Xenopus tropicalis: one gene and its partners. The protein of the gene in region 2 binds, or shares a complex with, the protein of the main gene of each other region. Links are inferred from orthologs where the notes say so. Each region holds a gene or a part of one and is shown on either strand. Other genes may lie near its edges.

Region 1 (7,357 bases), on a different chromosome or scaffold from region 2:
TGCTGCTGAACATTGTGTACCTATATTTAGATTTTTTTCTTCTGATGTGTTCCCACAATGGACTGATACAGATAAAATTACGGTGTTGCAAATACTTAATTGATGTCTTGGCACTTTGATTTTGATAATGGGCATAATATCTCTCCAATTACAGTACTTAATATAAGAAACAAAGCAAAAACATTTTCTTATATTACTCAGCTCGTACTAGTCACAACATCAATTTACTGGAAATGGGAGTTGCTATGGAAATTACGGCTCAAGTAAAACCCTGCAGCAGGTTCTTTAGAACAACCAAAAATAAGCTGGTATGTATTTCTATTCCACAGACACATCAAACTATAAAGTATAAATATGTAGCACCTATCTTTAGATTATTAGACATAATAATTAGACAACAACATAAATGCAAAGAATCTGGTCTAGAATTCTTTATCTACAACTAAGCCATGACGCACAGCCTCCGTAAGGAAAGCATTCGTTACATACATGCGTTACATAATGCACACATGGAATTTAATATAAGATTAAATCTCTGTTTAGTAATCAACATAACAAAATGGTAATTTGAAAACTCCATTACATTAAGTGCTAACCAAGTTAAGTGATCAAATACCAACTGCGCTCACAGTCTCACAAGGGCATATACTTTGGATATTGGAGGGATACTGATGGCACATACTAAAGAAATGTGGATAAAGAAAAACTCACCAGCACACCCAGGCTCCTCCAAAAAAACTTTCACCTGGTACACAGTATCAAGAGGGAACGGCACCCTCCAATCCGAATTTAAATAACATAGATACTGGCACGATTTGTGCCAGTATCTATGTTGTTTACATACTAAAGAAACCCTGCCACATACATTTTCAGTGCAACTGTTTTCTTGCAATGCTTCACAATTAAACACCCTTTATTTTAAAAAAACATATGCTCAGAAACACTCTTTAAAGGCCATGACAACTCCAAAAATTATTTTTTGCCTAATGAAAGAAGACATAATTCTAAGCAACTTTCCAATATTATTAAAAATGTTAAGTGCTTTGAAAGTTATTTGTAAATGTAGTTGCTATAGAAAGAAACATTTGCAGAACTCCTGGTTGTTACTTTTTAAACAATGTTGCAAAGGTCAGTCTCCTCCATCAAGACAGGTCTGTCAATCTACTGGTTTGTATTACATTGTTTCAAGATTCAGAACCACCAGGGCAGAAAATAGAAAGGACATGCAAACACTGCTTTTAATAGCAGTTATATATACAAATACCTCAACCACCATTACAAAAATGTAATGACTTTATATTGCAAAGTTGCTAAGAGTTTTGGTTTCTTTTATTAGGCAATTTTTTTTTCCTTTTAAAAATATGTCCAGCTCTATATAATTTGATATACCTGTAGTAATCACCAGTGGGATTTTGCACAATTTTGGACTATAGCTATCTGGGAAGCATTAATCTAGAGATGATCTTAGCTCATTAGTTCTTTAGAATAAATGTCTGCTACAGCTGAATGCATTAGCCTTTATTACCTTTACACACACACAAACACAATTCCAGAATCTACCATCTATTAAGTCTCTTTATGTGCTGTGCTGTGCATGCCAACCTCTACTCTTAAGACCAGAGTCTGCTCTTAGAATGTTAATATTTTATTAGTGCTGTGTTTTATTTATATATAGAGTGTCATTGATGTCTAACTCTGTGTTACTGCCAGCCACAGGGCTTGTACAGTTTATTCAACACGCACAAATTTGTCATCTAAGATAAGGATTCTGATAATCTTCATATAGGTATTACGTTTTTACAGTGAATACCCACTCCTATTAAAAATACTAGGAAAAAATCAAACTATTACTCTATACAGCATCTGGGAACTGTAAGCTATAACAGGTTCTGTCTACCTGAGCCAACACTCCACTTCTCACCATTACAACCTATGCACATAACAGCTCCCTTAGTTATGTTGCTCTGTGTATGTATATATATATATATATACAGGTATAGGACCCATTATCCAGAATGCTCGGGACCAAGGGTATTCCGGATAAGGGGTCTTTCCGTAATTTGGATCTCCACACCTTTAGTCTACTAAAAAATCAATTAAACATTAATTAAACTCAATAGGATAGTTTTGCATCCAATAAGGATTATTTATATCTTAGTTGTGATCAATTATAAGGTACTGTTTTATTACTACAGAGAAAAAGAAAAACCGTTTTAAAATTCTGAATTATTTGATTAAAATGGAGTCTATGGGAGACAGGCTTTCCGTAATTCAGAGCTTTCTGGATAATGGGTTTCCGGATAAGGGATCCCATACCTGTATATATATATATATATATATATATATATATATATAAGAACAGAGAGCCGCACACACAGGGACTTAGCAATTAGTGAAAAAAGTTTTAATGAAAAAAATCCAAAGTTTCGAGCACTAACTGTACTCTTCTTCAGGGACAAACCCTGTCCCTGAAGAAGAGTACAGTTAGTGCTCGAAACGTTGAATTTTTTTCATTAAAACTTTTTTCACTAATTGCTAAGTCCCTGTGTGTGTGGCTCTCTGTTCGTGTATTTCCGTATTTTGCCAGCACCCAGGGCATTTGTGCCTCAATAGGGTGTGCTCCACTCTTCTTGTTTTATATATATATATATATATATTACACTTTGTACGGCGCTGCATATCCTTGTGGTGCTTTATAAATAAAGTTATACATACACACACACATTTTGGGCTTTGTGGCCCCCTACCTGTGATTCATTATTCGGTGTATCATCATCCATTCTGGTTTTATGCCATATCTGTAAAACTTTTCTTCCATCTTTGCATACAGCGGGTCTTTGTTTCTCCGTTTTTCACTTTTGCCTTCTTCATCCCCAGACCCATAGTCATATGGAGGTGGGTCATCCATATCATTTTTTCTTTGGTAGTTTCGAAACATGACTGTATGATATAGCTCTAGCTGTAAGGATAAATAATAAAAACAACACATTTAATATGGAGGTGAAAAGGCAACATGTTCCCATGCCTCTCATCCTTAGATTTGCCTCTTGACCATAGGATTTTAATAATGATAGCATTAAGCAGGTCAAGCAATGGCAATCAGATGATTAAAATCAACTGTATTTAAATGGATTTTATTATTCATGATTTAAAAAAGCATTTCTATGATCAATGTTATAACTGGTAGTTTCTTTAAACATCACCTGCAATTCCTTAGCCCAGGAGCAGTGCCAGTAGGACAGCCCTGCCCATTTGACAAAAAATTCTCTTTCTGGAATGCCCTCCACAGGCTTTGGAGGTGGCATAAGGGGATCTATATCGACGGGAAACCCTGATGGAGGGGGAGGTTCTCTCCATACCCAGTGCAGGATTCGTTGAACTTTTCCTTTCAAAGGTGGACACTAAAGATAAAATGAAAACAAATGTTTCAATGCCTTTATCATACATTGAAGTAACATTCACTTGTAATTTATGAAAAAACACACAAAAAAATAAAGGAAAAGTTATAAAAACGTTCATAACTGTTGTTTAATATCTGTAAAACCTTGGTGCAATACCACTGCCACAAACCTCAGTTCCCCTCTAATTGTTCTGCTGCTTCTTTAAGTTTTGTCTTTACATCAATTCAGCATTAATTTTTCTTTTCAACCATTACATACCTCCCAACATTTTGAAAGCGGGACAAAAATAAATGCTGAGCACAGCGCGGACTTTTTTTGACCACGTCCATTTTGCAACCACACCTCCTAAATACCACTCCCATTTGACTAAATTTGGCAGGTTATTGAAAGTTTGGACACATTTCTGTTTAGCTTATTAGTTACAATTGTATCTCAGTGCAGGGGGGATTTTTAACTTTCTGGGCTCTCTGCCAAAAGCCACTTATTTAATTAAAAGCGAGAAACAATGTATCTAAGTGCAGGCTCTCTGCCCAAAAACTACTTTTAATTAAATTTGTATCTTTTTTAGCTTCAATGCAGGAGATCAAAGGGAAATGAGGGACTTTTAAGTAAGAATCCGGGACTGCGGGTTGAGCTGTCAAAAGAGGGACTGTCCCGCGAAAATCGGGACAGTTGGGATGTATGCCATTACATGCATTATGCATTACCATGCTATTTCTAGTGAAATCTCTCTCAACGTTTAGGCTGATGCCACACAAGGCATAGGGCTGAAATTTTCGGCAAGCGGATAAACGCTTGCCGAAAATTCAGCCCTACGCCTCCTACTTGTGCCTGCACCCGAATGAATGGAATACGCTCGGGTGCAGACACATGTAGCCGATATACGCAAGAAAACGCGAGATTTTGAATTCTCTTGCGTTTTCATGCGTATATCGGCTACATGTGCCTGCACCCGAGCATATCCCATTCATTCGGGTGCAGGCACAAGTAGCGCTACGCCGCGTGTGGCATCAGCCTTATCTTTTCCAAGTGAAATCTCTTCTACCTGTTCTTCCTTCTTTCCATGCCACCACCTTTCCCTCACCTTGTTTTACTACCAACTCACCTTTATTCTGCGCCATTTCCAGCCTTTTTACTCACTCACCACTATACTTCCCATAGCTTTGAACTGCTCCTCTCACTGTGTAGTCCCTTCTTTCTCAATGAACAGTGCCCATTTTATCTATATTTATATTAGTGGTAATTAAATTAAGTAATGCCCTTCACAATGTCGTTGCACTTATCCAAGAAAAGTTTATTTGCTAAACATTCAACATGAACCAACATGTATAGTTCAGTAAAAATGGAAAATGTTAAGGATGTGTCTTTGTATGGCTCCAGTTCTGAATAAATAGTTCTTATTAATGTAAATGAGCAGTACCAAAACATTATCAGTCAAAACACTATTACCATAACTGCTATATCATAACAATTGTTATTGCAACTGCAATTCATTTAGTTAGAATGACTAAAAATACACAAATATTGTTATAGTTACTGAGGGCAAACTAACCACACATCTTATCTCATTACCTGCCCTATGGATTTGACACCCTGACATAGCCATGACAGCCATGGCCTCTTGTTTTTTTGTCTGCCTGGCTTTTCAAGCAATGGCAAATATTCTAAGCTCAAGCCATAATTCTAAGATCAACAATTGTCTTCAGATGCAATCCTTATCTTTTAATATAACACAATATACTACCAACATCCTACTTTCTGTTCAGCTCATCAAAGTGTGTATAACTCTTTATCCTACTGATAAAATCAAACCCATAAACTTGAGATTGAATGTTCATCACTGTTTTGCTGTAGATATTCTGTCCCATATACACTGCAACCTGTTAGATGTTATAGCACAGGTTAATATCAGCTTAAAGCTACAGATTTACAACTTTCATCCATTTTATTGCATGTTTTTACAGAAACGTTTGTATATTAGTCTTCACAAATATACAGTTGACTCACTTTCCTTTCCACTTTACTAAACACAGCAAAATAATTCCTAATAACATCAAATGTCCTCATTGTACCTCAAATGTATTTACTATGGCAGACAGTCTGTCTAGATGATATTTTAGGGCAGAGCCCATGCTATCCTTTGCAAAATGCAAGGAAGCATATCTTACAAACCCCATACACATGTGCTATTATTTGCTTCCTTTCACAAATGTCAGAAAAACATAAATGATTCTTTATCCAAAACTGAGTTCATGAGGTCTTACCGTACAACGAGGGCACAGCCATTCACCATTTGGTATTTCAGGCAATGGTGGGTTAAGACAGTGCAAATGATAAGAAGAAGGACAAGTGTCACAGCACAGAAGTTCGCCCCCATCTTTACAAACACGACAAAACTCCATGTGGTCATCTTCCTCTTCTTCCTCTTCTTCTGCCCCATCTTCTTCATCCTCATCATCTTCCTTTGGTTCCCACTGAATGCCTTCTTTTTCCTATTCAAGGGCCAACAGCAATTTACGTCAGTATGTTTTTATGTTTGATTATAATCAACGATATTAATAATAATATCTATCATAAGGATTTATGCTAGCTTTGTTAACACTAAGGGGCCTATTTATTATGCTGTGTAAAAAAACAGGGACAAAATTCGCCATACATCGACAGGCTTTGCCGCATTAAAAAAAGGTGTATTTTTTTATGTGTTTTTTCTTCTGCTGGAACTTATGTAAAATAGTGGCATAAAATCTGGCTTTCAGACAGCAAAATTTGCCTTTTAATTTACACAGCTTTAAAATCCATTTTCTGTATGAATTTGGAAACAGTGAAGGCACTGAGTGATTAGCATTTTTTGCCTTTAGATCTCCCTTTAATAATTCAGAGAACAAGCAAATAAATCCAAAATGAATAATTGTTTGCTTAAAAGGGTAGTTCACCTTTAAATTAACTTTTAGTATGATGCCGAGATTCTGAGATTGTTTGCAACTGGTCTTCAATTTTTTTTTGTGTGTTTTAAGTTATTTAGCTTTTAGTTTGGCATTTTAGCGACTATCTGGTTGCTAGGATCTTATTTTCCCTAGCAATTAAAAACGTTAATTTAGGGGTGAACCACCCCTTTAAATAGAATACTAACTTAATTTATAGTCTGGTGCTTCCTGGAACTAAGTTTGCAGATATAAATCCCACATTTACATTTATTCTATAAATAAGTTAATGAGTTCCTATGTTTTCATTCCTTTTGTTTACTTTTTAAGGTGCCTTAAGACTGCTATGTTCATATCTCTATTTCATCGGGCAGAATGATAGAACAATATTACTGCACTGCAGAATAAGTGGAAAAGGTATGTAGTGCATCATACAAGCAGAAGAAAATCTCAGTAAAACAAAGCAAATAAATCTATAGAAACCTGAAGCTGACAGCAGTAATACCAAGTACCTGTTCTGTACATTCCAAATAATCCCTAATCGTTTCAGAAAAAAAGGAAAGACTTACACAGTGTGGACAGCTCCACTTGCCCTCTGGGGCCTTCTCCAATTCAGGATCCAGGCAGACAAGGTGATAGGCACGGGGGCATGTGTCACATAATATGATTTCCCCTCCCTGCTGACAAACTTCGCAGTAATCCTGATGGTCTGTCTCATAACCGTCACCTTCTTCAACTACAAGATAAATAAAAAACAATATCATGTTCTCATTCCATTTGTAGCTCTATCATCTGCCTTGATTTTAATGCATTAACACGACATTAACATCAGCCGCACAAGGTAACGCAGCACTTAACATTTCGAGAGTATGTAAATTGCTTTTCACCGACTTTAATGACAGTGCTTTTATGTTTGATTAGATTTGCTAATTTGATAATTGAAGGCAGATGGATCAGGACAAAAAGCAGTAAAAGAATAATAACTTCCCAACATTATGACAAGACTCAGCGTCGTCAAATTAGAGGAAAATTTAA
Region 2 (8,083 bases):
GTGACGATAAAATTAACATATTTACTGCATTTTATGTGGGGGTAAAGCCACAAAAAAAACTTAGTTCACCCCTGAAATCTATATTTTCAGAAATACACATTCCCTTGAATCCAAAAGGGGTACGTTTTTCTAATTCAAATGGATACGTCTTTCTACTCCAAATTACAAAGTTTGCCTAAAGTTGGTGATTTGCCAACATTTTGGCACCCCCAAGTGACTTAGCCTTTCCTTCTCCTTTAAAGCTTCCATATTATTTCCCATAGAGGAACAAAACTTTCATTTGAAGCAGTGTAGTTGGCTTTTCACAGGGATGGCAGTGAGGTTGTGATGGCTGATTTTGTTAATGCCTGTAAGAGGTAGTTGAATGATTTCTTGAACAAGCATAATATCCAAGGGTATTGATGTTGGTATATATAGTTTATGTATGCGAGTGTATAGATAGGTCAGTATAGGTTTAAGTGTGTGCCGGGTTCACTTGGAGTGGTTAAACTTGATCTTTTTTCAGCCCAACTTAACTAACTATTTGACATATCATTAGGTACAAAGAAAAAAACATCCTAAATATGAACCCCAGGGGTCTACTGTAGAGTTTGATGCCTAATGTACACAGGTTTATTAAAGTACATGGCAAGTAGAGACCACAACATATAACTTGTGCATATTTCATTGCTTAAATGTTCACTAATTAATAAAACACACTGTTGTATGTGTGGTGAAAGCTGCAAAAAAAAAAAAAACCAAACATTTTCATAAAGTATACATTGTGTTCAATCCAAAAATATGCCCTTCTACTGCAAACTACCAAAATGCAAAGCTATGCTCAACGTAGTGGTTTCTATGAAATATCTAAAAAAAAAAATGTTACCCCATGATATGGCACACGTTTTGTATCGTTTCAGTATAAAAAATCCTAAATATAAACACCATGGGTCTACTGGCACACACCTGCCAACTCTGGTTCAGCAAACAGAACCCTCTGACTGCATATTATGTGTCCTAAGACCCCCAGAAAACCATATAATTTTGGAAAGTAGACATTCAAATAAATCCAAATTAGGTAAAAAAAAAAAAATCTTTCTACACCAAATAACAAAGCTTTTTTAAATTTAGCGGTTTTTATTGCATTTCCACCCTAAATATGAATGCCAGAGGTCTATTGAACAGTTGGATACCCAATATAGATATACCAAACTATGTGTTTATGTATGAAATAAAAAATAGTGCACACAAATTTCTTCAGCTGCCATTCACCTTCTGCGAACAAAGTCACCTGACAGCGTATCGTCATAAGACAAGCGGATCTTACAGTGTATGGCCACCTTGAGACCTCAGAAAACAAAACGGAGGACCTCTACAAGTGCGGTTACACCTTAAGAAAAAAGCTAAACTTCCCACGAACATCTGTAAGTACAATTATATGCAATAATAAAAAACTTGGGATCATACAGATACTGCCTCATTCAGGAAGGAGACTCAATTTAAGACCAAGGGATAAGCAAACTTTGCTCAGATAGGTCCAACTGAATCTCAAGACAACAAAGAAACTGGTGAAGATGGAGGCATTAGGTACCAAAGTATCACCATTTACAATTAAGAAACTCCTTCATTGCCATGGGGTGAACTAAAAAAGCATATCAGGTCCAAGAGGTCCAAAAACACCAGTTCTGTCAGGAGAAAAGGGGAAAAAAAAACCACCAGCAATATATTGTGAGAGGCTTGTGGTTGAACTAGCTGGACTGGTCTTCTTTTAACCTCTGCTTGGAGGTAACCATGTATAAAGTTTAGGTGCCTCACCTATTAAACAATAACATTCATGTTTATTAAAGTTCCTAGAGCGCATTTTGAGTACTGTATTTAGAATGCATGAAGACTAAGAACACTGAGGCAAAGCAGGCATTTTGGCCTATGGTAACACAGGGTATATTCCAGCTGGCTGAGAAGTGACCAAATGTGGCAGTGCAGGTATGTCATTTAGTTAAATACATTTTGGACAGAAAATGCATTGTGTCATTTTCTGGCCAGAATTACTGAGCCGTAGGCCTTATTTTGGAATGTCAGTCAGTCACTATAAACATATATATTTGTATGTGTAAATTGTGTGCCATTACTGTGTTTGTACTTATATAGAACAGGGTATGTTCATGTAGATTGTAAGCTCTTTAGGGCAGGGCTCTCTTTACCTCTCGCATCGGTTATTGATTGCGTTATATGTTACTCTGTATGTCCAATGTATGAAACCCACTTATTGTACAGCGCTGCGGAATATGTTGGCGCTTTATAAATATTATTATTAATAATAATACAGTGTTTTTTGTGAAATCAAGCCTTCCTCTGAATCAACTAGAAGTTAGGCAGGTATATATAGGCATTATGGTTGAACGTGATGGACATGTGTCTTTTTTTCAACCCAACTTACTATGTAAGCGCGGGTACAGTAAACAAATGAAAACATTGATAAAACTTATATTTAAAGTTGGAATTGGGTCCCTGCACCATAGACCTTATACTCTAGAATGGTCTCTAAACGTATAAATATATGATGATTGACGTCCACCTAAGTGTCAAATGAAGTTTTCTTCTACTCTCTGATCAGTTTATTACAAAGATAGGAGCAAGTACTAAACACCCAGGGAGTATCTGTTGTACTAATGGCAGGAGGGCTGCCAGCCCAGCACACACGGTATATATTAGGGAACGGTATATATATAGGAAACGCACGTTCGCACACTACTTGCCATTGGCTCCCTTCTCTGTACCTGCCGCCAGTGGTGGCGTTCGGCCTCTTTTGTGTCCCATTAACCCCATCCCCCGCCATATTGGTTCCCGCTCCTAGCGCTCTTAGCCCCCCATTACCACCTCCGTGTAAGCCCGGTATCCCCTCATTCATACCCTATCCTACCCCCTTGCCATACTATCCACATATCTGTACTAATAAGCTATATTACAACACCCCCCGCTGACAGCCACGGACGCGCTCACTATATGGCGGGAGGGGACAGATCTTCATCTGCGCCGCCGCCTCCTCCTCCTCCCTCGCCTTGTCTAGAACATGGCACCCCACGAATACCAGCCCCCCCGAACCTAACGGGTTTGTTTTCTGAGAAAAATGTAATAAATCACGTTAATAAACATGGGGGCCCAAGGAGGAGGGGGAAATGGGCGGGTAATGCTGGAAATTTGTGGAAACGTCAACATGGCGCGCCATAAAAGATGTTACCTCACGGCAGGAGTTGGGTAAAAGCAGGGCAAAGTCATATACGACTGTTATATATGGGTTATCACTGGCCTTGTGCCATGGTACAGGCCAAATCATATAGGTAAACGAAGATCTATCTTGCGGCCCTCCAGCTGTTATTACACTACAATTCCCCAGTATCACTGGCAGTCTCGGTTCAACAATAGGGCCACAGTTTGGCTACTACAGAAATAAACCAATAACCGTATACAACAATTGCAACTGGTAACAATGCATTATGGGTACTGTAGTTCCGAACAGCTAAGAAGCCCAGCAAGTTTGCCATACACCATTTCACCCTGAGGTACAGGGAATCTGACAGCTACCTCCACTTTGGGAGTCGTCCTGCCTTTTACCCCTTGTGACACCGTGAGAATGTGTAACCTTTGCAAATGGTGTATTTGGGGGAACCCCATTAACTAAGTTCTGTAGTTCCACTATTATAGAGCCGTGTATGTTACATTATTACAAGTGTGGGACGTGGGGGTGAGCCGGGGACCACCACGTGACCCGGGACAAAATGGGGGCACCTCAGGTCCGGCTGCAGCAGCAGCACATTCCTACAGTCTCCCCTCAAATCATCTCTTCTGCCCCCCCCCCTACCCGTATACACGTAGCGCCCCCAAAAGCAATGGTAGGCGGACTGCTGCATGTCTGTGCCCCCCTGCACACTGGCACCCCCACCATCAAACCCACATCATACAGGCAGCGGCACAATGCAGGCAGAGAAACAAATCATCACTAAGGCTGATCCCACAACAAGGCCCCAAATAGGTAGAGCTGCTCCTGCATTCAGTAAGGCGGATCTCTCTTACCTCCAACCCTGTACATGTTTGCAGCCATGTCTCTCAGCAAGGGAGGGGGGATCCCACTGGCACTCCCCCCTCGGTGCCTTCTGCTTTAGCAAGTCTGGAACCCCCCCCTCCTGCTCCTCTCTCCTCAGCATAGATTTTTAGCAACGATCCACATGAGGGGGGGAAAAAAAAAAAAACAAACAAATCCTCCTCCAGGTGGGATTGCAGAGCTCCTTTTTGGAAAATGGTGGATGGATCAGCCGAGGAGGAGGGGAAAAGGATGCATTTAAAGGGGGGGCAGTGCCTTGCCTCCTGGTGGCAATGTGCTCGGAGGAAGAAGAGGAGAGAGAAGGAGCAATACTAGCAACAGTCCTAAACAAGGGGAGGGGTGGAGGAAGTCACTCAGTCATTCAGTGCAACTCTTTTCTCTTTCCTCCCCCTCCCCCATCCAAACTACAACTGCAACTGTTGTGTCTCTCTCCAGGACATCTCCATTTGTCTGCATTACCGGGAAATGAGCTTCCCTCTTCGTGGGCAACAGAAGCCATGGTTTGCCTTCACGGTGACTGCCATACGTCGTGATGGTGCAAAAAGCCACCGTTATCTTTCGTTTTCTTTCTTTTTTTTTTAGAATGTAAGCTCTTGCTTGCAGGGCCCTTCCTCTATTGTCTCTTTATCAATGTACAGTTGTAACAATGTGCATCTCCATTGCTTTTATGTACAGACTATAATGTCTTGTGCTGGTATCCCGTTACTCTATAAAGCACCTCCAGAGGCAACGGCGCAGTAAACGTAATAAATGTGCCTGCAATAGCCTATCTCAGGGGGTTGCCCTGTTATGTGTTCAAACACTGGTTGGTTTTAAAATACACATGCTATGTGCCGGTATCAACCAGTATTATTATTAGCATCTATTTATAAAGCGCCAACATGTTCCGCAGCACTGTACAATAAGTGGGATTATACACCGGACATACAAAATTAAACACAAAGCAAGCAATACAAGAAGTAAAAAAGCCCCTGTCCTAAAGAGCTTACAATCTATAAGGATTTGTGCTCTTCCAGCCGCAACTTTCCTCAGTCCCAGCTTTCTCTAACTTTGGCTATGCCGGGGTTCCGAAACTTGTAGTTCAGCAGCGGCTCAAGGGCCGTAGGTTGGATACCCCACATCTGTACATGATCATTATAAAAAGAGGCAACTATACAATAAGAATGCTGCTTGGCTAATTAGTACACTTTAGTGTCACTACGGACAACTTAGTATAGTTTATTCTGTGCAGTGTTAAACTGTAATGCCATGGGCCAGCCAGAATAATGGCTACCAAGATCTCACCAACCATAATGTAATTTGTTCATTATTTTTTTTCCAGTTGCTTCACTTTCTTTAATGTTACACACTTTTCTTACCCCAAAACCTTTTTTATGTACTCTCTCCCCTTGACGGGCACAGGGGCACTGATCAGGATGCCTAGCATTCATAGGTGCCCTAGTGATTATAATTACTTACCTGATACCCCGGCTGGTGCACCTGTCAAGAGAAAACTGCACCGGCTTGGGGTACCTGCGACTGAGCGATCCTCTTCCTCCCGTCTTCGTTCTTCACGATCCCGGGGCCTACGCATTTGCAGTACAATGAAAAAGCCGTGATTACAATCAATGGGGTTACTATAACTTTCTTTCTCCTTTAATAGGAAACAATGCGTAAATTTGTAACCATCTATCAACAATTAAAGACACCAAAAGCGTATATACTGGGGAGCAGTGGAAGTTCAAAAGAGAGATAGAAACCCAATTATGATTGGACTGGAGTGGATTCACTAGGGATGCACCGAATCCAGGATTTGGCCTTTTTCGGCAGGATTTGGATTCTGCCAAATCCATGGCCCTGGCTGAACCGAATCCGAATCCTAAAAATCACATGACTTTTTGTCACGTTAACATGGAAGTGGAATTTTTTTACCGCGCATATGGTAAATAGAATTCGGTTCAGAATTTGGCTGAATCGCTTACCGTGGATTTGGGGGTTCGGCCAAACCGGAAAAACTGGATTCAGTGCATCCCTAATTTTCATACACTTGCAGTATCTGCCGTTGACCACAGGAAGGATTTGCAGTGGGAACTGGCTGGAATTTACAGCAGCGTAGCATTTCATAATATGAGACATATTTGTTAAGCAGTTTTTTTTCCTGTCACAGAGAGTGCTAGAAATGAAGAATTGATCTATGCCTCAGGAGAGCATTTAGTCAAGCACTGTCCCCATGACTGGCTTTGTTGCTGCTGCGTAGCACATTTCTAGATCAAAATACCCTACATAATACAAGCACTCACAAGTCTTTGTGCAATTTAAAACAATAGTTTTGGATCAGGCACATTATGCATAAAGGTGGATCATAGCTGGCAAGAAATGAAAACTTGTTACATTTGCTGAATGAACATTTTTTGACTCAAATTCCAACCAAAAGCGCTCAAGGATTTTGAGGCGTCATGTTCAACCATATCAAGCCTTAAGGTGGCCATACACGTAGCAATTTTTATCTTTCATGTGACCATTGGTCGCACAAAAGATCATTCCCACCCGCCACTCAGGGCTGAATCATTAGATACGTAGGTAGAAACAATACAAATTCTACCTCCACCTGCCGATTCAGCTCTCAACATAGATTTTGCACGGGCACCTTCAATGGCACCTGATCAAAATATTTTAGCCTGGCCGATCGACGGGTCGACCGATATCCGCAACCTTTTGCAATATCAGTCCTGAACGTCAATTAAGTTTTGTACGATATTATCGGTGCACGTTTGGCTGGCTTTAGAACTGGGACCATGTTTTAGGACAATAAAAATAAACTAGGCAAACAAAAGAGAATCTACCACTATGCTCCAAAAAACATGCATTCATTCTGGTTGCAGAAATGAGGACTGGACACAAGAAATTCAAATAACTCAAAATCTCAGCTGTGTCCAGTCCCCAATGTTATGGGTGTCTGTAGGAAGGAAAAATTACAGATGTGGCTGGGTGGCATGCTGCCCTGAAAAACCTGCTTCCTTGGGCCTGACCCTTTGTGGCCTATGCACCAATCAGGGCCTGGGCGTGAAACTACATTTTTGTGCAGAAAATTTGCTGCCTGAGCCTGCACCCATGCCTATGCAATGGCTCCGGGTTAAATTAATTTGCAAAAAGACCTTGTTATTTGTTCTCATTTTCTAGGAAGTGGGACATCATTATATCTCACTCCCCTTCCATTTCTTGCCAGTGGTTGCAGATTGGTGCTATGTCTTCTAGAATAGAATATATCTTTATTGTCATTGTCACATAGTAAACAACGAGCACACTGGACTCCTAGGACACTGTGCGTGTTATGTGTGAAGCCTTATATATGCTCAATATGATTTGCACTGGCATAAGAGTAAGGGAAATTCTGGGTGATGCGAAGTGGACATTTTCAAGTGACCTGGGGCAGCTTTACCAAGCTACATTATATGAAAAAGAATAATGAAAAATTTAGTAAGTTTACTGAAATTTAAGCATTATTGTTTGCATAAGGGTGTAAGGGCTTGTAGTCGGAGTTGAGGAGGAAGCTTGTGTTGAGTCAAGCAAACAGTCCAAAAATATTGTATCAGAAGGGTTAAACAATTTCATAGTCATATTCAGGGCACAGGTCGGTTCAGGCAGCAAACAGAATGGTCCCAAACAAGCAGGAGGGTCAAATACCAGAAGATCAATCTTAAAGGGGACCTGTCACCCTAAGAAACCCTAAGAAATAATTCCAATTTCTTTTCTGGTGTGTTTGTTAAGCAAAATAAATTTCACTTACACTATATAAATGATATAAATCTTGTTTCCTTCAGTCTTGGGAATATACAATCACAGCCAGCAGACAGCTGCCATTTTGTGGGCACTGTTATTAAGGCAAGCTTTGTATCACCCCAAAATCTTGTGTATGTGCCAGAATGGGGGACCATATGCCCAGGCCCATGCACTGGCTACACAAATAGATGGTGAGAAGGTAGGGAGAATGTGAGTGCTGAATGGAAAGTTTAAGTCATTGTCTGC
Region 3 (7,964 bases), on a different chromosome or scaffold from region 2:
TTTGAAGTTGGAAAACTAGGCAGCAAACTGGAAAATGAGGTTCAATGTGGACAAGTGCAAAGTTATGCACTTTGGTAGAAATAATATAAACGTGAACCATCTAAAGCAAATAAAGTGCTATCTTGTATAAAAACGGGCATTGACTCGAGATGAAAACATAAAATTTTGCCTCTTTATAGGTCCCTGGGTAAGGCCTCACCTTGAGTATGCAGTGCAGTTTTGGGCTCCAGTCCTTAAAGTGATACTAACAGCAAAATAATTATTTTCAATAAATGATTCTACCTCCAAACATACCTATAACTTATGTGGACCGTTTTTTCCAGAAAGCCCTTGTTGTCTAAATAAACACTTCCTAAGATCCTGGACCAAACAGTCTGACAAACCCAACTGTGTTTTCTAAGCCTGTCAGTCAAAGCAGGAGCAGGCTGACGTCAGTGACTGAAAGGATCCTCCCGTTTCCTTTTCCCTTACAACAGCAGACAGGCTTGATTTCCTTCCCCCTCTTACACACACCAACACAGAGCTTTATCCCTCCCATCCCCTGGCACAGAGCAGTAGATAACAGCAGCTTCAGCTTTCCCTGCCTGCATCTCCCCCTTCCCTCCCATTACACACAGGCACACACCGGAGCCTGGAAGAGGAGAGCAAACATGGCTGCCCTGTGGACCTGTCATTGATTCCATGATAATGGTAAAGTGAAAAAACTTTGCAGCTTGTTTTATAAAGAAATTAAAAGTTGATACCAATGTAAACATGAGGGCAGATGCAAGAAAATTTTGTTTATTGGCTGTCAGTATCACTTTAAGAAGGATATTAATGAGCTGGAGCGAGTGCAGAGACGTGCAACTAAACTGGTAAAGACGATGGAAGATTTAAGCTATGGAGGTTAGACTGTTGAGGATGGGGTTGACAATGAAAGGTTAATATAAATTAAAAGTAAGTCTAAAGGCATTCTTTTTAAGTACTTACTGCATATCTAAATTCCCAGATCCCTGCTTGCTTCTCTGAGATATGGTGCTGGCAGCCTACAGCAGTGTGAAGACTCCAGTGAAATCACTGAAATCTCTCTTCCCTTCCTGTAGGCTGCCAGCGGCAGCCTTCCTATTCTCTGAGCATGTGTGTAACTTGATCCTGTCTCCTGTTCTGAGCTACACATGCCCACCAGCCAATCAGAAGCAGATCTGCCACAGGGGAGGTGAGGCGAAGGGGGGGAGGGAATGAAACACATGTGCAGTATGAAGCAAGGAGGGAAAGGATGGGAGGGAGAATACCTTTTTATAGAGATGGCTGCCTGTTCTAGAAAATGTGAAGTGTGACTGAGTAAATATTTGATTAGGTGAGCCAAGAGTGTGGCAATTTTACTTGTGGATCTCGCAGCGTTTGATAATGTTAATCATTCACTTCAGCTCTACGCGGCAGGGACCTCCATCCTCTTGTCTTTGACTCTTAACTTATTGCAACTGTATTTATCTGTATTTATGGTTATACTTTGTATTCATCTATTAGCTTAATAATCCCGTTTGTATTAATGTATTCTACTGTACAGCGCTGCGTACATAAGTAGCGCTTTATAAATAAAGATATACATACATACTTCTTTTAAAACATCTTCAAATGCTTGGTATCAGCAGTTCTGCTTTATCATGGTTGGCATCCTCTCTCTCTATGCACACTTTTAGAGTAACAGTCTCCACCTGTTGAAGTGCAATAGCAATGTTTTAGATCAACACCAGTCTTTTTAAGCTACTGGTAACAGCTCATATCCGTATATTTTTATAGTGTGATCTCTATTGGTAAAAAATCTTATTACAAACTAAATAATCATACTACTAACCATTGTGAAACAACAAGTACAGATACAAATATTTCCTTTCAAACCACATAGCCACCATTTGTTACATTTTAAACTTTTTCACTAACACCAATAGTCCATCCTTAAAAGAAGCAACCTGCAACAAAAAGATAAATAAAACCCCAATTGAAAGCAAAAAAAAAAGGTAAAACCTATTATTTATTTCTCTCATTAAATCGCTGACAAATCTTACTTAAATCATATTCTTTTTCGAGGCCATGGGGCATTAACATCTCCAACCTAGGTATCCTTCTTGCTTCTTTTTCCAGTAAAATTCTCATTCTATTTTTTTTGGGGGGGGGGGGGCATTATCAATGATCAGGAATTTTAACTGTTGCACCTCATGGCCTGTAGTGAGAAAATAAGAGACAGCTTGATTTTTTTTAGTATTAATAGATAGAGAATTTTACTGAATAAAGAAGCAAGATGGATACGTAGTTTGGAGACATTAATGCCCCATGACCTCAATAGAGAATTTGATATAAAGGAGAAGGAAAGGCTAATAAAGAGTTCATCTCAAGATGCAGGTATATCTTCAGTTCTCTCAATAGTGCCCTTAGGTCTCCCCATATTTCTCCGGTTCAGATGATCAGAAGCCTCATAGGAAAAAAAAAAAAAACAACTCCGAGCTCTGTAAAGAAAGTTTCCATAATGCCTCGCTCCTGCACCAAGACCAAGACACTGTACATGATCAGTTTGTAAGACTATGAGGAATCTTCCTGCTGATTGGCTCAGATCACACATTCCTAAGAAGGGGAAGGAGTTCTTAGCATTCTTGAGGGGGGGGGGGAGCAGGAAAGGGGGAGAGAGCTGCCTGTCTCTGGCAGAGAAAAACAAGGAGACAACAAATCCTGTTTCTTTTGACAGAGAACTCAATGCAGCGTTTCTGTGAGTGCTTATGGCTGTATTTACATAGATCTTTCTGATAAAGCTTACTTAGTTTTTACCTTTCCTTCTCCTTTAAGATTTATCTGTGATTTAATGAGAAAAATAAATTATGGGTTTTAAATTTTTGCTTTTAATTGGGGTTTTATGTATCTGTTTTTGTTGCAGGTTGCTTATTTTAAGGATGATGGGGATGGCTTAATGCACAAAAAGCCTCTGAAAGTAAAAATGTTTAAAATATAACAAATGGTAGTTATGTAGTTTGAAATGGAAATATTTCACAATGAATGGTTTGTAATTTACCAATTTTACCAATAGTCACTGTATCACACTATAAAAATGTACGGATATTAGCTGTTTCAGTAGCTTGATAAAACACCAGTGTTGGTCTGAAACATTGCTGTGGGTCAGAACCCTTTTTTCAATAAGGGCTTTTAAGGAGATATTGCAGTGGTGGTGCAGTCTATTACAAGGATGCTAAAATATAAATACATACATACAAGTCCTATTCACTGAACTCAAGTTAAACAAGGAGGTACACTGCCTCTTTAAATGCCAATCACAAGCAAATGCAGGTGGACTTGTCAGACAATTGTTGATAGGGCGGCTCAATTTCTTTGATTTTAGGCCAGATAAATACCCATCTCGATCGGGCAGGTTTAATTTTTCAGTTGGATCAGGGACTGGATCGGCTCGCTGATGCAGTCCCTGAACCAATGGCACCTATGCCCGCCATAGGTGGGCATATCAGAAGATCCACTTGCTTAACAACCTTGCAAAATTAGCAGATCTTACAGTGTATGGACACCTTAAAGGACATGGACTTAATCCCTAAAATTCAGACCAATTCGGCAACGTATCTGCCTGCATCGGTTCATTGATGAAGTCCTCGCCCTGATGGCCTGTATCCTGCTGTTGATCAAATCGTTTGGCCACCTTAGTTGGGCATATCAGTGAAAAAACTGCTTGGATTTTATAATGTATATAAATTATAAATATTATAAAAAATAAATGTATATATATTTTATAATGTATCTTAAAGATAAATCTTAACACTAATAAAACAGTTAAATGCAATAGATTTTTAAAGCTGAAGTAAAATTGAGAAATCCAACCAAGCAACAATAAGTAAATGCTGGCAAAGCCTAAAAGTATGCTTGATATTCTAGAGATTCAGCAGATACAATTGAATTAAAGCAAACAAAAGTCTTGCAGCATTAGAAAAATGGCACACACAGCAATTCTAAGTACAAATTAGAAATAGTCCTTACCCTCAGTGCTGCCACAATCAATTTACCAGTTAGTAAGCAGCGCTAACAGGTAATAATATATTAAAAAATAAATTGTTATATCCTTTTTTGATATACATAGCAATTTCAGGCTTTATTCAGCCAAACTTGTAGTACTGTAAAATGCAAATGTAGAGATCTAAAAGTTGCACACAGGTAATATCTTAAAAATTACTTTCACTGCATTTTCATGTTATTACAACAGTGTACGCAAGTAAACTGTCTCAGACACAGCAATTTCCTTTTATGTGGACATCAACGTATTTTCAGGTGCTGTGTCATTGCCCTTGGGGGTCTGGTGACTATCCCTGCAACACCTACAGGTCCCGACAATTGCCACAGAGCGCCAAAATACCAATAATCTGTAGTCGTGCCATTTACCTTTAAAGAAAACTTTAAAAAAAAAATGTTATAAACCAACCTATATTACTCTGTTACCTGGAGTGCCAGGGGCACTATTACTCCCAGAAGGCGCAGGGGCGATGGGCTTATACGACATGCTTTAACTACTACGCTCACCCTTCGACTTTAGACACCTTACTACCGAGACGTGCCTCTTCCGCAAGGCCGGATTACCCACTAGGCGACCTAGTAAAAAAACTGTCAAAAACCAGTAAATTAACGAACGGAGCCCGGATGTGATGTATCATTTTTTAAAGAAGATAGAAATCCTCAGGCCCTTGGGCTCAAATTCTGCTGACAAAGCAACCTACCATTCGCTTGCTTTGCCTCTGCGTCCTGCGGGGTACTACATCCTGTATTCAAGGACCATATACGTAGGTACGTGCGTCTGACGGAGTGGATGCGGAAGGGGTGAACAATTGCACGCACAGAGTCTGTAGGCGCGACATAAAACTGGTTGCGTCGTCTGCTGTTGGCTTGTGTATGGGGTTCAACACGTTACTGCAGTATTTGTTGGATGAGTTTAAAAAGGGCGATGTTGGGAAGCTAGTCAAAAGTGCTTTGGGTACATAGTAATTTAGTTAGCTGTAAGAGAGAAATTAATAACAATTCGTTTGTTGAATAAATAGTAGCTGCTCCAATGTTTCTGTTTTGTGGTCTTTTTTGTTTGCCACAAGAAATTTTTTACTCCCAAGCATGTTGGTGTAGTTGTTCTCCAGAACCCTTATATCGATGCAAAGATAAGTGTTTAAAAGAAAAACAATATATAGTTTAGTATATTTTATTAACTGACTCCTGATCATATATTTAAATTGTTCATTTAGTTATAAAATGAAGTGCAAAGTGTATATGAGTGAACAGTTTCAACTTTAAAAATGAAAATGCAAATACAGGTATGGCATACCTCCCAAATATTCCGATTTTCGAGGGACAGTCCCTTTTGACAGCTTAACCCGCAGTCCTGAATTCTTACTGGAAAAGTCCTTCATTTCCCTTTGATCTCCTGCACTGAAGCTAAAAAAGATACAAATTTAATTAAGTGTGCTTTTGGCAGAGAGTAGGTCTCTTGGGGGATCTGAGATTTGCAGCTTAAAAGACAATTTTAGCTTTTTCAACAAAACTAATAACACATAAAACAGGACCCCAAAACCTCCAGAAATGTGTTCAACCTTTAAATAACCTGCCAAATTAGTCAAATGGTAGTGGTATTTAGGGGGTGTGGTTTCAAAAATGGGCATAGTCAAAAAAATTTGCCCCTCTTTCTGTTTTCAAAATGTTGAGAGGTATGGTATGGGACCTATTATCCAGAATGGGATTGTTCTGTAATTTGGATCTCCATACCTTAAGTCTGCTAAAAAATCATTTGAATAATGAATAAACCCAATAGGATTGTTTTGCCTCCAATAAGGATTGATTCTATCTTAGTTGGGATCAAGTACGTCGTTCTGTTTTATTATTAAAGAGAAAAAGGAAATCATTTTCAAAAATTAGAATTATTTGATTATTAATGGGGTCTATGGGAGACAGCCATTCCGTAATTTGGAAATAACAGATCCCATACCTGTAGCAGAACATTCATTTATCTAGTTTTCACATAATAAAGTGCAGAAAAACTAAGTTCAACAACACCTTGTTTGTTTATATCTGCTATAGTGAGCAATTAACTCTAATACAATTAGTGATCTCTTTTTTAATATCTGTAAAAGTGCTCATAGTATGCTTACAAACATAAATATCTTTTTTACCGATCAAGAACAAATGTCTCACAATCTCCGGTACTCTCAGACGGAGATATATTTCAGGTTTTTCTTTTGTCACTGCAGGTCCACATTAAGTATCTTCATATAACTGTACCAAGTATGTATTAAAAGAAAGTTGAAGGGGGCATGATATATAAAACCTGTTTGTCATGATACAGGCCTGTAAGGGTTAATCAAGCAGGCCAAGGTATCACAAAAATCTTCCCCCATGGGACAGAAACAGATGTATAACAGGCCTCTGGTCACTAGGGTCTGGAACCAGCCATGTGTAAAGGCCTCACATCCTGGAATGCCCAAACTCTAATCCCTGGCTGATAAGGGCCATGCCATGTGGGGGAGTGAAAGCCCACATGGTGTAAATTAGAGTTCACATCAAAACCCATCATAGGTGATGTGGAGGTCACACCATAACCCAACCTCACGAACATTTATTGTCCCAGAACCCATACTATTTATACTAGAGGTACCAAAACCTGAGTATATGTTTCATTTACGATTGCCTTTCTTACGGGTCCAAACATCGCTGGATTTGGGTTCTCGGTTTGGCAGATAGGAGTATCTGGGCAGGGGCAGGTCACACAGTAGTGATGTTTAGTCTGTATGGGACCGGTGGGATCATTTAGAATTGATGAATCTAATTTCATCTTTCTATTATGTTCCCACAAGGAGTTATGGTCATCTTCATCATAGGTCCAGTCCCATACACTCAGGGGGTCATAAAACTCACACTGTGTCCTGCTAATGGTGACACCCCTTGCATTCCTGAGGGAGGGGGGAGTGTCCAGTTACCTGATCCCCTGCAAACTGGGATAAATAGTCAGCTCTTCTGACTATACGCTGATATACTTGGAGGACCAATTTTCGATTGGAAGTTTATCCTGTGGTTTCCCCTTGCCTCCAGGACTAGAAGGACTTTGCTTGGTACAGTATAGGACTTCTATGTTTTTCCCTTTTATTTTAAACTGTTTGTACTTATTTTATCGTATGTCCTTTTTTTGTAACATCCTGTTTTAACTTGCACTGTTATACTTTTTATAATATTAAATATAAAATTTAATAAGTTTGTCCTTGATGCTCTAAAACGTACCTAACCTCCGAGTGTGTAACTGAGTTGTGTGCCTTAGCCCTCTGTATGCTGATTAACCCTGTGACTGCTAGTATGGAGAGTTTGTGTGTCGGTTCTTTACATTAACCCTTTCTCTACCAGTGTGCTTGGCATCTCTCATCGCCAGTATAAGAAGTATGAGAGTGGTGGCAGCAAGTTGTATTTGAGTTTGTGAGCGTTGGTTGGTCTTTGGGGTGCTGTGCCGCTAGTCTACCGGGGTGCCAGGTGTGTGAGACTGAGCAGGGGACCCTCTAGACAACCACGCCTAAAGTCACGTGCGTCTGAAGTGCCGTAATCGTGACAAATTGATTGGCAGCGGTGTCATATTGTTATTTAGAGCATTAGTGCTTGGATTAAGTAATTGAACCTTGCACTAAAGACTGTGAATCCTTGAGAGGAGGAAACAGTCTTCAAAGACAAACTCAGTGCAGAGTAAAATTTTTTTTAAGACATACGTGTTGCAAACAGTTGCCCTTCCCTTCTTGTTTTTCTTTTCTATCTTTTATTTTGGTAAAGTGTTGCAAGATGGCAGCATTTTATAAGAGGCAAACCAAGGAGACCCTCATCAACCTCTGTGAGCAAAGAGGCATTGATGCAGCTGACAAATCAAAGGAGATGTTGGTTTGTGCCTTGGTGGAACAGGAGCAGCAGAGCTACACCCCTGAGTCAGG
Region 4 (7,884 bases), on a different chromosome or scaffold from region 2:
TAATCAATGTTGCACAAGGCTAAAAAACAGAACTTTAAATAACTGTTGGCTGTGCATAAAGAAATTATCTTTGGTGACCAATATTTAAAAACAGGGTGTTGGGCCCAGGATTTGGATGGACCTGAGCCAATAGTTGTGTGCTTGTGTCATTAGTGCAAAATTGCTGTAGTGTTTCAGTAGCTGCCACAAGCATCTGTGGCAATTCTAATATGACAATACAGCCCTTATAATGTAGCGTTGATATTTTACACTTTGTAGGCTGCATTTTCACTGCATATTTGCTGCTATATGTCCACGTCTTGCTAGTAATAGAATTCTTTTAATAGCAAGACATGGACATATAGCAGCAAATATGCAGTGAAAAAGCAGCCTGCAAAGTGTAAAATATTAACGCTACATTATAAGGGCTGTATTGTCATTTTAGAAATGCCACAGATGCTTGTAAAAAAAGAAAAAAAAAGGTGTTAAGTTGGTATGTATTTTTCAGGAAGAGGTGGCCATGAACAGTGTAAGGCCAGTCAGAGTATCATGGATTTCATCTGCTAGTGTACATTTTACACCCAAAATCCACCCTATGTGCACAGAGACAGGTATATCACATTTGAGCAGGTTACTGTTGTACATGTTCCTTCATAAATCAATAGAAAGTGAAATAAAACTGTTCTTATTACCTAATATTCACATCTGTGTAAATGCTGTCGGTGCAAAAGGGGCCCTATTTGTTTTCATAGTTAATCTTACAGCAATGTCAGTCACTGTTACTCACATGCACAGGTGCCACAGTTTCTAAACTGCAGTTATTCCAGATTTCAGCAAAGGATTTGACCCAATTTAAAAAAAAAAAAAAAAAAATCTTAGCTCTCAAGCCTCCTGTTTCCAGTCAATCTGAAGCCTACCCCTTACTGATATATGCCAGTAGTGTGTTGTCCTTCTAGATAAAAAGACATCCGTAAAGAGAAAAGTTGTGGTTCTGATTCCCTTTGTCCGATTGTATCCATATTAAGGGTTGGTTAGCTTCAGCAGCCTTTGGGAGCACTTGGTATCTTTTTAATGCCTCCCTTTCACGTTCCTAATATCAACAAGCCCTACCAGTTGTCTGATGAAGCTAAATATTCTTATATTATTTTATTTGTGTTCCTAAAATATTCTCTTCATACAATCAAACCGTATTAATAACAAAATTCACCTCCAAGGTTTTTTATTATACAGGTGGATTTTATTTCTATAATATTATTTTTGGGAATAGAGTCTTAATTACTAAATAAAAATAACAGTTTTAAAATGCAGTAAGATGTAATTTATCCCTTTCATCCCTGATATAGGTTAACACCACATATATCATTGCTGAATGTTTAATAAAGTTAAAGTAATTTTACCCCTAAGGGTAAAGGTGGCCATACATGGTAAGATCTGCTCACCTGGCGAGGTCACCAAGTGAGCGGATCTTCTCCCGATATCCCCACTTACAGGTGGGCAATATTGGGCTAATTTGGTCATTTGGCCCTAGGGCCAAATGACTGAATTAAAACGGTGTGTATAGGCGCTGCCGGTTCGGGGCCCGCATCTGACAGAAAAATCGCACCTGTCCAATTGAGATCTGCCCAATTTTTGGCTCTGGCACACGGGGAGATTAGTCGCCCGCGGCAAAACCTCCCTGTTCGCGGGCGACTAATCTCCCCGAGTTGCCTTCCCCTGCCATCCCACCGGCGAACATGTAAGTCGCCGGCGGGATGGCAGATGCCAAAAAAGACTTGTGAGTTTTTTTCGGCGATTTCCCGAAATCGCCCCGCGGCGTCTGCCATCCCACCGGCAACTTACATTGTCGCCGATGGGATGGCAGGGGAAGGCAACTCGGGGAGATTAGTCGCCCGCGAACAGGGAGTTTTGCCGCAGGCGACTAATCTCCCCGTGTGCCAGAGCCCTTAAGGCCAGATGTTGGTCTGGGAGGCCCATCTTTGTGTCCATACACGGGCAGAGAAGCTGGCGAATTGGTCTAAAGGAATGATTTCAGCAGCTAGAATCGGCCCGTGTATGGCCACCTTAAACACTTATGAGCCTCAGTCACATTTTGCTGGTGGGGTAAAACAGTTGTAGTTCAACATACAGAGACCCTCAAATTGGCAGTGTTAATATACAGGAATGTACAGCTTGGGTCACTCTAGCGGTGAATGAAATGGCAAGAAGTGGTTCAAACAGTGCTGATGTCCTGTGAAAAACAAGAAAAGCCAAAATGCTGCTTTTATTGGGAAGTACCTTGGTTCATACCCACACAGCGACAACAGGCAGACCTCTTCATATAAATACTCACTTGAGAGTTTTGGGGGGTGTATGCCTGGAAGTCAGTGTGTAAACCGGGGTACTTTCCATTAAATAACATCACAAGTCACGACACGGCTGCGGCAGACAAAATGCCCCACGTGCCACTATAAACAGCTGGAAGGATGCAGGTAAAATGTCATCGGTACAGGTCCATATATTTATAAATTTATATCCGCCTTTACAAAATAGTTACAAAAAAAATAAAAATTCCCCTCAAGCACTTTTATTAAAATAAATAATACTATTTACTTTCTGGAATACAAAAATACACCCATATTTCACCCTATAATAAAAAATAAATGAATGGTTAAAATGTAATTAATTTTGCCAAAAAGTGTAAAAAAAAAAAATGTAAAAAGTTACTTTACTAAAAATGTGAAAAATCTTAAGGTTACTTTGATCAGGGAACAAAAATGTATTGTACCCATTGCACTGAGAACAAAATCAACTTCCCCTCTCAAAGTGAAAAAAAAAGACCTTCTGAAAGAAAATGTCCGTGTCGCGAAATTCACTGCTGAAAAACAGTTAAAATGGCATAAAAGTGCCCTAATGTTGGCGCGACGGCTGGCTTCCATGAGAGAAATAAGCCCCCCGGGGTGAGAGGTGAGCGGGGGGCTGCCCAGGGACAGGGCTGCTGGAGGCTTCATTGCATTGTGGGTGTCAGTACATGTGACGCCATATCTGCCGGTGCCGCCGCTGTAAACAACAAAAAGTGTCTGAGGGAGACAGACAAGAGCCGCTCCAGTGGATCTCAGGACATTTTATTTGTTGTTGTTGCCAGATTCCTCCCCTCTCGGCGGCGGTCATGTCTCTGGGAATGTCTTACAAGCCCAACCCGAACGCCCAGCACCCCGTCAGCAACCCCGGCTTGCAGGGTAAGTGAGGGGACCCGGGGTGGGGAGCTTGTTCAGGGGGCAGCGAGGGCTTGGGCCCAGTTGATTGGAGAGGAGGGGAGCAGGATGGAGACACCTGGGGAGAGCCGGAGTTCATGTGCCGGCCGCTACATTCATATGAGTTCCTGGCGGAGGCTGTTCGGCAGAGCGGGAGCCGATCGCAGTGTTCGGGCGGGCTGGCGGTGCTTGTGGGGACAGGGGGGACCCTGTGGCATGCGGGGAAGCGATGGATCCGCAGGAGCCCTTTGATCAAGTCCGTTTCGGCGCCTCCATGATCGGCTCCCCAGGGCTGCTGATTGATCTGGAACTGGTAGGCACTGTGCGGGCCTCTGCTGGCAGCAAGTGGAACTGCAGGGCGCTGCTGATTTAGGAACGTGTCTCTGTCGGGAGGGTCGTGTCCATTATTATCATATTACCATTATACACAGGAATACTTCTGGCGAATAAAGGAAAATCTTACATCTTATAATTGATTCATTCCCGTATTATTAATGTTTGGCAGATTTATAACTCATGTAACAAACTCTGCCTTAAATTAATAAGCATTGTTATGCATAGCACAAATTGGTCATTGTTGATAAAAGAGCATGAGGGTTGGTTGCTTTATGGCAGTACTGGGATCTCAAGCTATTGTGCTGATAAATGTCTGCGAAGCTGTATCCACACTTGAGAACTTGAGAATAATAGGATCATTATATGCTACCAGGTGTATACAGAGAGGCATGGTTTGTATTTGGAGAGAGAGAGCACAGGCAGGGAGCGTTCATGTATTTGAATCTCATTTTCCATTTTTATTGTTAAAAATGGTTGGTGATGTGTTAAAGCTGATTTTGCATTTTTACAAGCTGTGCAATTAAAATGCCATTGGGATTCATATCTCTGGGCATGGTGGAGTCTGTGGAACAAGGAATATTAAATATAAAGCGGGGTTATATTCTAACTGACATAATAGCCCTAATAGATAGCTGTACAACACTGGAAAGCTTGTTCCATAAATCAATAGAAATTGTATTTGCAATAGGAATATTTCCAGCCAGTTTCAGTGAGCTGCAGGCAGGGCCGTTTTACCTAGCAGGATGGTAGTGGGCCCCTTCCGCCCTGTTTCACAGTGTTTAAACCGTCGCCACTTTTGGCCACACACATATATACCACATCCATTTTACCAAAATGTAACCCAGACGTGCCACAATTAGAGAAAATGCCATAACTAGAGAAAATGGATAATGAGCATATGAACTCCAGACATGCCAACATAAATTCCAAAGTAAAATAAAGGGCATATTAACCCTAGATGTGCCAGTATAATTACGACAAAAAATAATTAGCATATGAACCCCAGCTGTGCCAGTATAATCACTATGGAAATGGGCAATTAGCACTCTATTAACCAGGCCTGAATTTGTGGCGAGGCAACAATGGCTCAGACCTAGGATGGCACAAATTTAGCGGCGGCCACACCTGAACTTTGCTCACATACAGAGCACTGGGGACAGGACGCACAGAAAACTTCAGTGCGTCCTGTCCCCAGTGCTCCGTATGTGAGCTAAATGGATGGGGGGGGGGGATTAGCAAATAAGATTGCTGGAAAATGTCCAGTAAGCATTCCATTAACTCCAGACATGTCCGTAAGATCAGTGGATAGATTGAAAGCATTACCTACACTTGCACATTCTAAATACTAGTAGCAAAGTTACATGGCCAGTATGCTATTATCAATGGCAGTTCCCCCCACCCAGTGTTATGCTTCCATTTATTATCCCATTACCTGTATGGGTGGAACACATGCAACCCCTATAAGGCATCTCACCAGCTATGTCCCCTTACTCTGCCCTGGTACTCGAAGGGATACGCTGGGTATTATTTTTTTTTATTGTCTTATTAATAAAATATAGTGTTGACAAATCCCAAATAATGGCGTAGAGACTCTAGCTTGGGTGACTGTGGGGACACAATAAAATGTAAAAAAAGACCAATAAAATAAACACCCATTTATAGACTGGAAGCATTTCCTACACTAAACTTGCACAAGCAGAACACGAGTAGTGCAATTTCCATCTTTTCTTTCATTCCTTAAGCTTTTGGTGCACTCACTTTCTGTCTGCCAGCTTGTGAAGAGTCCACCTGTTAAAAATCCAAGATGGCCGTGGGTTCCAAAGTGGAGTGAATAGCCATCTTGAATTTTCTTTACACAGAAGAGACTCATCTGAGACCATGTTGAGGAGGGCAGCGGTGGCATAGGGGTATGAGGAAGGGAGGAAAAAAATAACAAAAAATCAGATCCCCTTGAATCCCCTTTGCAAAGGACTTGGTTTCAAAACGTTGGAAAGTCCTTTATCAAGGGAATTCAAATTAAATAAGTGTGCATTAAACAACTGACCACTATACTGTTTGGGGCTCTGTGTACTTGTAATGCCATCTGATGTTTTCTACATATACAAGCTATACAAAAGGGTATTGTCTATGGAGAATATTTCAGCAGTGGGAAGTAACCTGTCAGTTCCAACTTTTATTCTTACATGCTAATAAACAACAAAAAACGTTCCTTGCATGCAGTAAGTAACATCTTCATTCTTCGCTAAAGAATACATTTATATGGATTTCATTCAACTTCATGTTATTAAAAACAAATCATTATAGAAGCAATTCTGGCATAACTTTCTTACTATAGTAAAAATCCTACGTGTTCTTTTCAACAGCTGGAAGTGCTCACTCCCCTTCGACAAGTATGGCATCGACTGCACAGTACAGGCAGCTAGTTAATGACTACGGACCTCCATCTTTAGGATATACACAGGTAAAGCAAATGTACTTACTTATTTACAACTTCGGAAAACAAAGCAATTTGAAGGGCTTTCCACCACTGATATTATGCCAGCTCTATGAGAGGTAGTTCTTTGCTTTCCACCGGCGACTGCTCTTGTTGCCAATGGAAAGCGGGTGACTGAACCGCCATGTCGGTTCTTACCCTAAACGTGTTTCCTAGCCCTGCTGTATTTATTTGAATTAGGGTGATCGGGCACCATTTCCCTTAATAGCTCTCAATGCTATCTCTTCTCTTAACCAGAAGTCAGCAATTGTTGACAGCATTATAGTGAGCTTTGTCAGTTGTGAATATAAATTTATGTCAGCTGGAATAGGAAGAGAAACATCAATTAACAATGCAGATGCTATTATGAATTGTGGTCCCAGAAGCTGCTTTTACTTCCGGTTTAAAGCAGAAACAAACCTACAAACATTTTTACTCTGCCTGGTTCCTGATTTCTAAAAATGATTTTGGGGAAAGCAAATAAAAAAACAAAGGGCAGTAGAGGGAACTTTACAGGCTGTAGAGTGAGTTTACAAAACAATACCTCTCCCTTTCATACTTCTTCTTGCCTTCCTGTATTATTTGCTTTTTAGCACAGGTTTTCAAGAGAGCAATATCTCCGGGAATATCATCTTAAACCAACAAATGTATTTTTATTTTACTTGTAATATTGGTGTGTAGGCAGCCATCTCAGTGCATTGTGTGAGTCTAAGCTTTCAGAAAGAGCCAGAGCTTCATATTAGAACTGCATTCAGGAAAACTATTGTTTCTCTTACTCCCATGTAACTGGAGGAGTCCCAAGCCAGATTTCTCAAGGTCCCCATACACGGGCCGATTCTAGCTGCCGATATCGGTCCCTTAGACGATTCGGCAGTTAATCGGCCCATGTATGGGCACTACCGACGGGCCTGCCCGACCAATATCAGGAGTCGGGTGCTATAGCCCCGAGTCTCACACTTAAATCAGATCTAAATCAGATGTGTAGACACGAAAAGGTTTGTAGGTGGGGGATATCGGGAGAAGATCCGTTCGCTTGGCAACATTGCCAAACGAGGGAGGGGTGTGATATCACTCCAGCTCAGCAGTAAAGTGTGACTGAAGCACAGGTCACATGGCTGTGGCACCCTGGAAAATAAAGAATATGGCTAGCCCCATGTGAAATTTCAAAATTAAATATAAAAAGACAGCCCTTAAAAACCAGGAACATGCATGGGTGGGGCTTTTTATCCAATATAAAAATAGGAGCATGGATATAACGCCTAATTCAAAGCTTTATTAATGTAACATGGGAGGAAGGTAAGAATAAAGTTTGGAGATGTGAGGAGATCCAAGGATTTCTTTCACTTCTGCTCAGATATGCTCTTTAGAGACATCAGGCTTGTGAACAAAGCAGTGCTATTTAGCCAACAGTGTGAATGACCAGTTGAATATCGGTTTATTTGCTTGTGCATAACACCCATTAATGACTAGTGGGTTGTTTTTTACTTGACCACATCTGGAATCTTTTATTGTAGGTTTCTAATAGTAACCAGGTACCTCAGAGCAAGTATGCAGAGCTTCTTGCCATAATTGAAGAGCTGGGTAAAGAAATTAGACCAACATATGCTGGCAGTAAAAGTGCTATGGAGAGACTTAAAAGAGGTAAGAATAATATATTTTCCATGTCATTTATATTTCGTTGTTTTCTTATTAAATAACAATGAAAGATTAGTTATCTGGGGGGTTGATTTGTTGGGTATGTCCAGAGAACCTTATTTGTAAGCTTGGAACCAGGGCTAGCATTTCTCTTTGCAAAGAGATGCACCAGCTCAGGGGACTTGTCAGTAGAACGCTGTGGTATCATCCTTGTCTATATTGCCAGTGCTG

The links.
Region 1: mta1 (region 2) and chd5 share a complex: the UniProt entries of both Homo sapiens proteins name them as parts of the nucleosome remodeling and deacetylase (NuRD) repressor complex. The link is inferred for Xenopus tropicalis from reciprocal best matches to the Homo sapiens genes MTA1 and CHD5.
Region 3: mta1 (region 2) and cdk2ap2 share a complex: the UniProt entries of both Homo sapiens proteins name them as parts of the nucleosome remodeling and deacetylase (NuRD) repressor complex. The link is inferred for Xenopus tropicalis from reciprocal best matches to the Homo sapiens genes MTA1 and CDK2AP2.
Region 4: mta1 (region 2) and cdk2ap1 share a complex: the UniProt entries of both Homo sapiens proteins name them as parts of the nucleosome remodeling and deacetylase (NuRD) repressor complex. The link is inferred for Xenopus tropicalis from reciprocal best matches to the Homo sapiens genes MTA1 and CDK2AP1.

What each region holds. Positions count from the first base shown.
Region 1 is NC_030683.2:98,573,705-98,581,061, forward strand, and holds part of chd5 (chromodomain-helicase-DNA-binding protein 5), read right to left. Parts: intron 7,059-7,357; coding exon 6,892-7,058; intron 5,894-6,891; coding exon 5,666-5,893; intron 3,402-5,665; coding exon 3,204-3,401; intron 2,960-3,203; coding exon 2,748-2,959; intron 1-2,747. UniProt on the Homo sapiens protein: ATP-dependent chromatin-remodeling factor that binds DNA through histones and regulates gene transcription. May specifically recognize and bind trimethylated 'Lys-27' (H3K27me3) and non-methylated 'Lys-4' of histone H3.
Region 2 is NC_030684.2:115,959,452-115,967,534, forward strand, and holds the start of mta1 (metastasis-associated protein MTA1), read right to left. Parts: upstream 4,360-8,083; 5' UTR 4,079-4,359; coding exon 4,051-4,078; intron 1-4,050. UniProt on the Homo sapiens protein: Transcriptional coregulator which can act as both a transcriptional corepressor and coactivator. Acts as a component of the histone deacetylase NuRD complex which participates in the remodeling of chromatin.
Region 3 is NC_030683.2:59,554,344-59,562,307, reverse strand, and holds the start of cdk2ap2 (cyclin-dependent kinase 2-associated protein 2), read right to left. Parts: upstream 4,767-7,964; 5' UTR 4,740-4,766; intron 4,627-4,739; 5' UTR 4,526-4,626; coding exon 4,465-4,525; exon of another isoform or gene 4,448-4,464; intron 1,695-4,447; exon of another isoform or gene 1,596-1,694; coding exon of another isoform or gene 1,595-1,595; intron 1-1,594. Other genes in the region: uncharacterized protein LOC101733107, read left to right, coding at 7,819-7,964. UniProt on the Homo sapiens protein: Acts as a component of the histone deacetylase NuRD complex which participates in the remodeling of chromatin.
Region 4 is NC_030677.2:161,136,190-161,144,073, forward strand, and holds the start of cdk2ap1 (cyclin-dependent kinase 2-associated protein 1), read left to right. Parts: upstream 1-3,116; 5' UTR 3,117-3,136; coding exon 3,137-3,194; intron 3,195-5,908; coding exon 5,909-6,006; intron 6,007-7,532; coding exon 7,533-7,659; intron 7,660-7,884. UniProt on the Homo sapiens protein: Inhibitor of cyclin-dependent kinase CDK2. Also acts as a component of the histone deacetylase NuRD complex which participates in the remodeling of chromatin.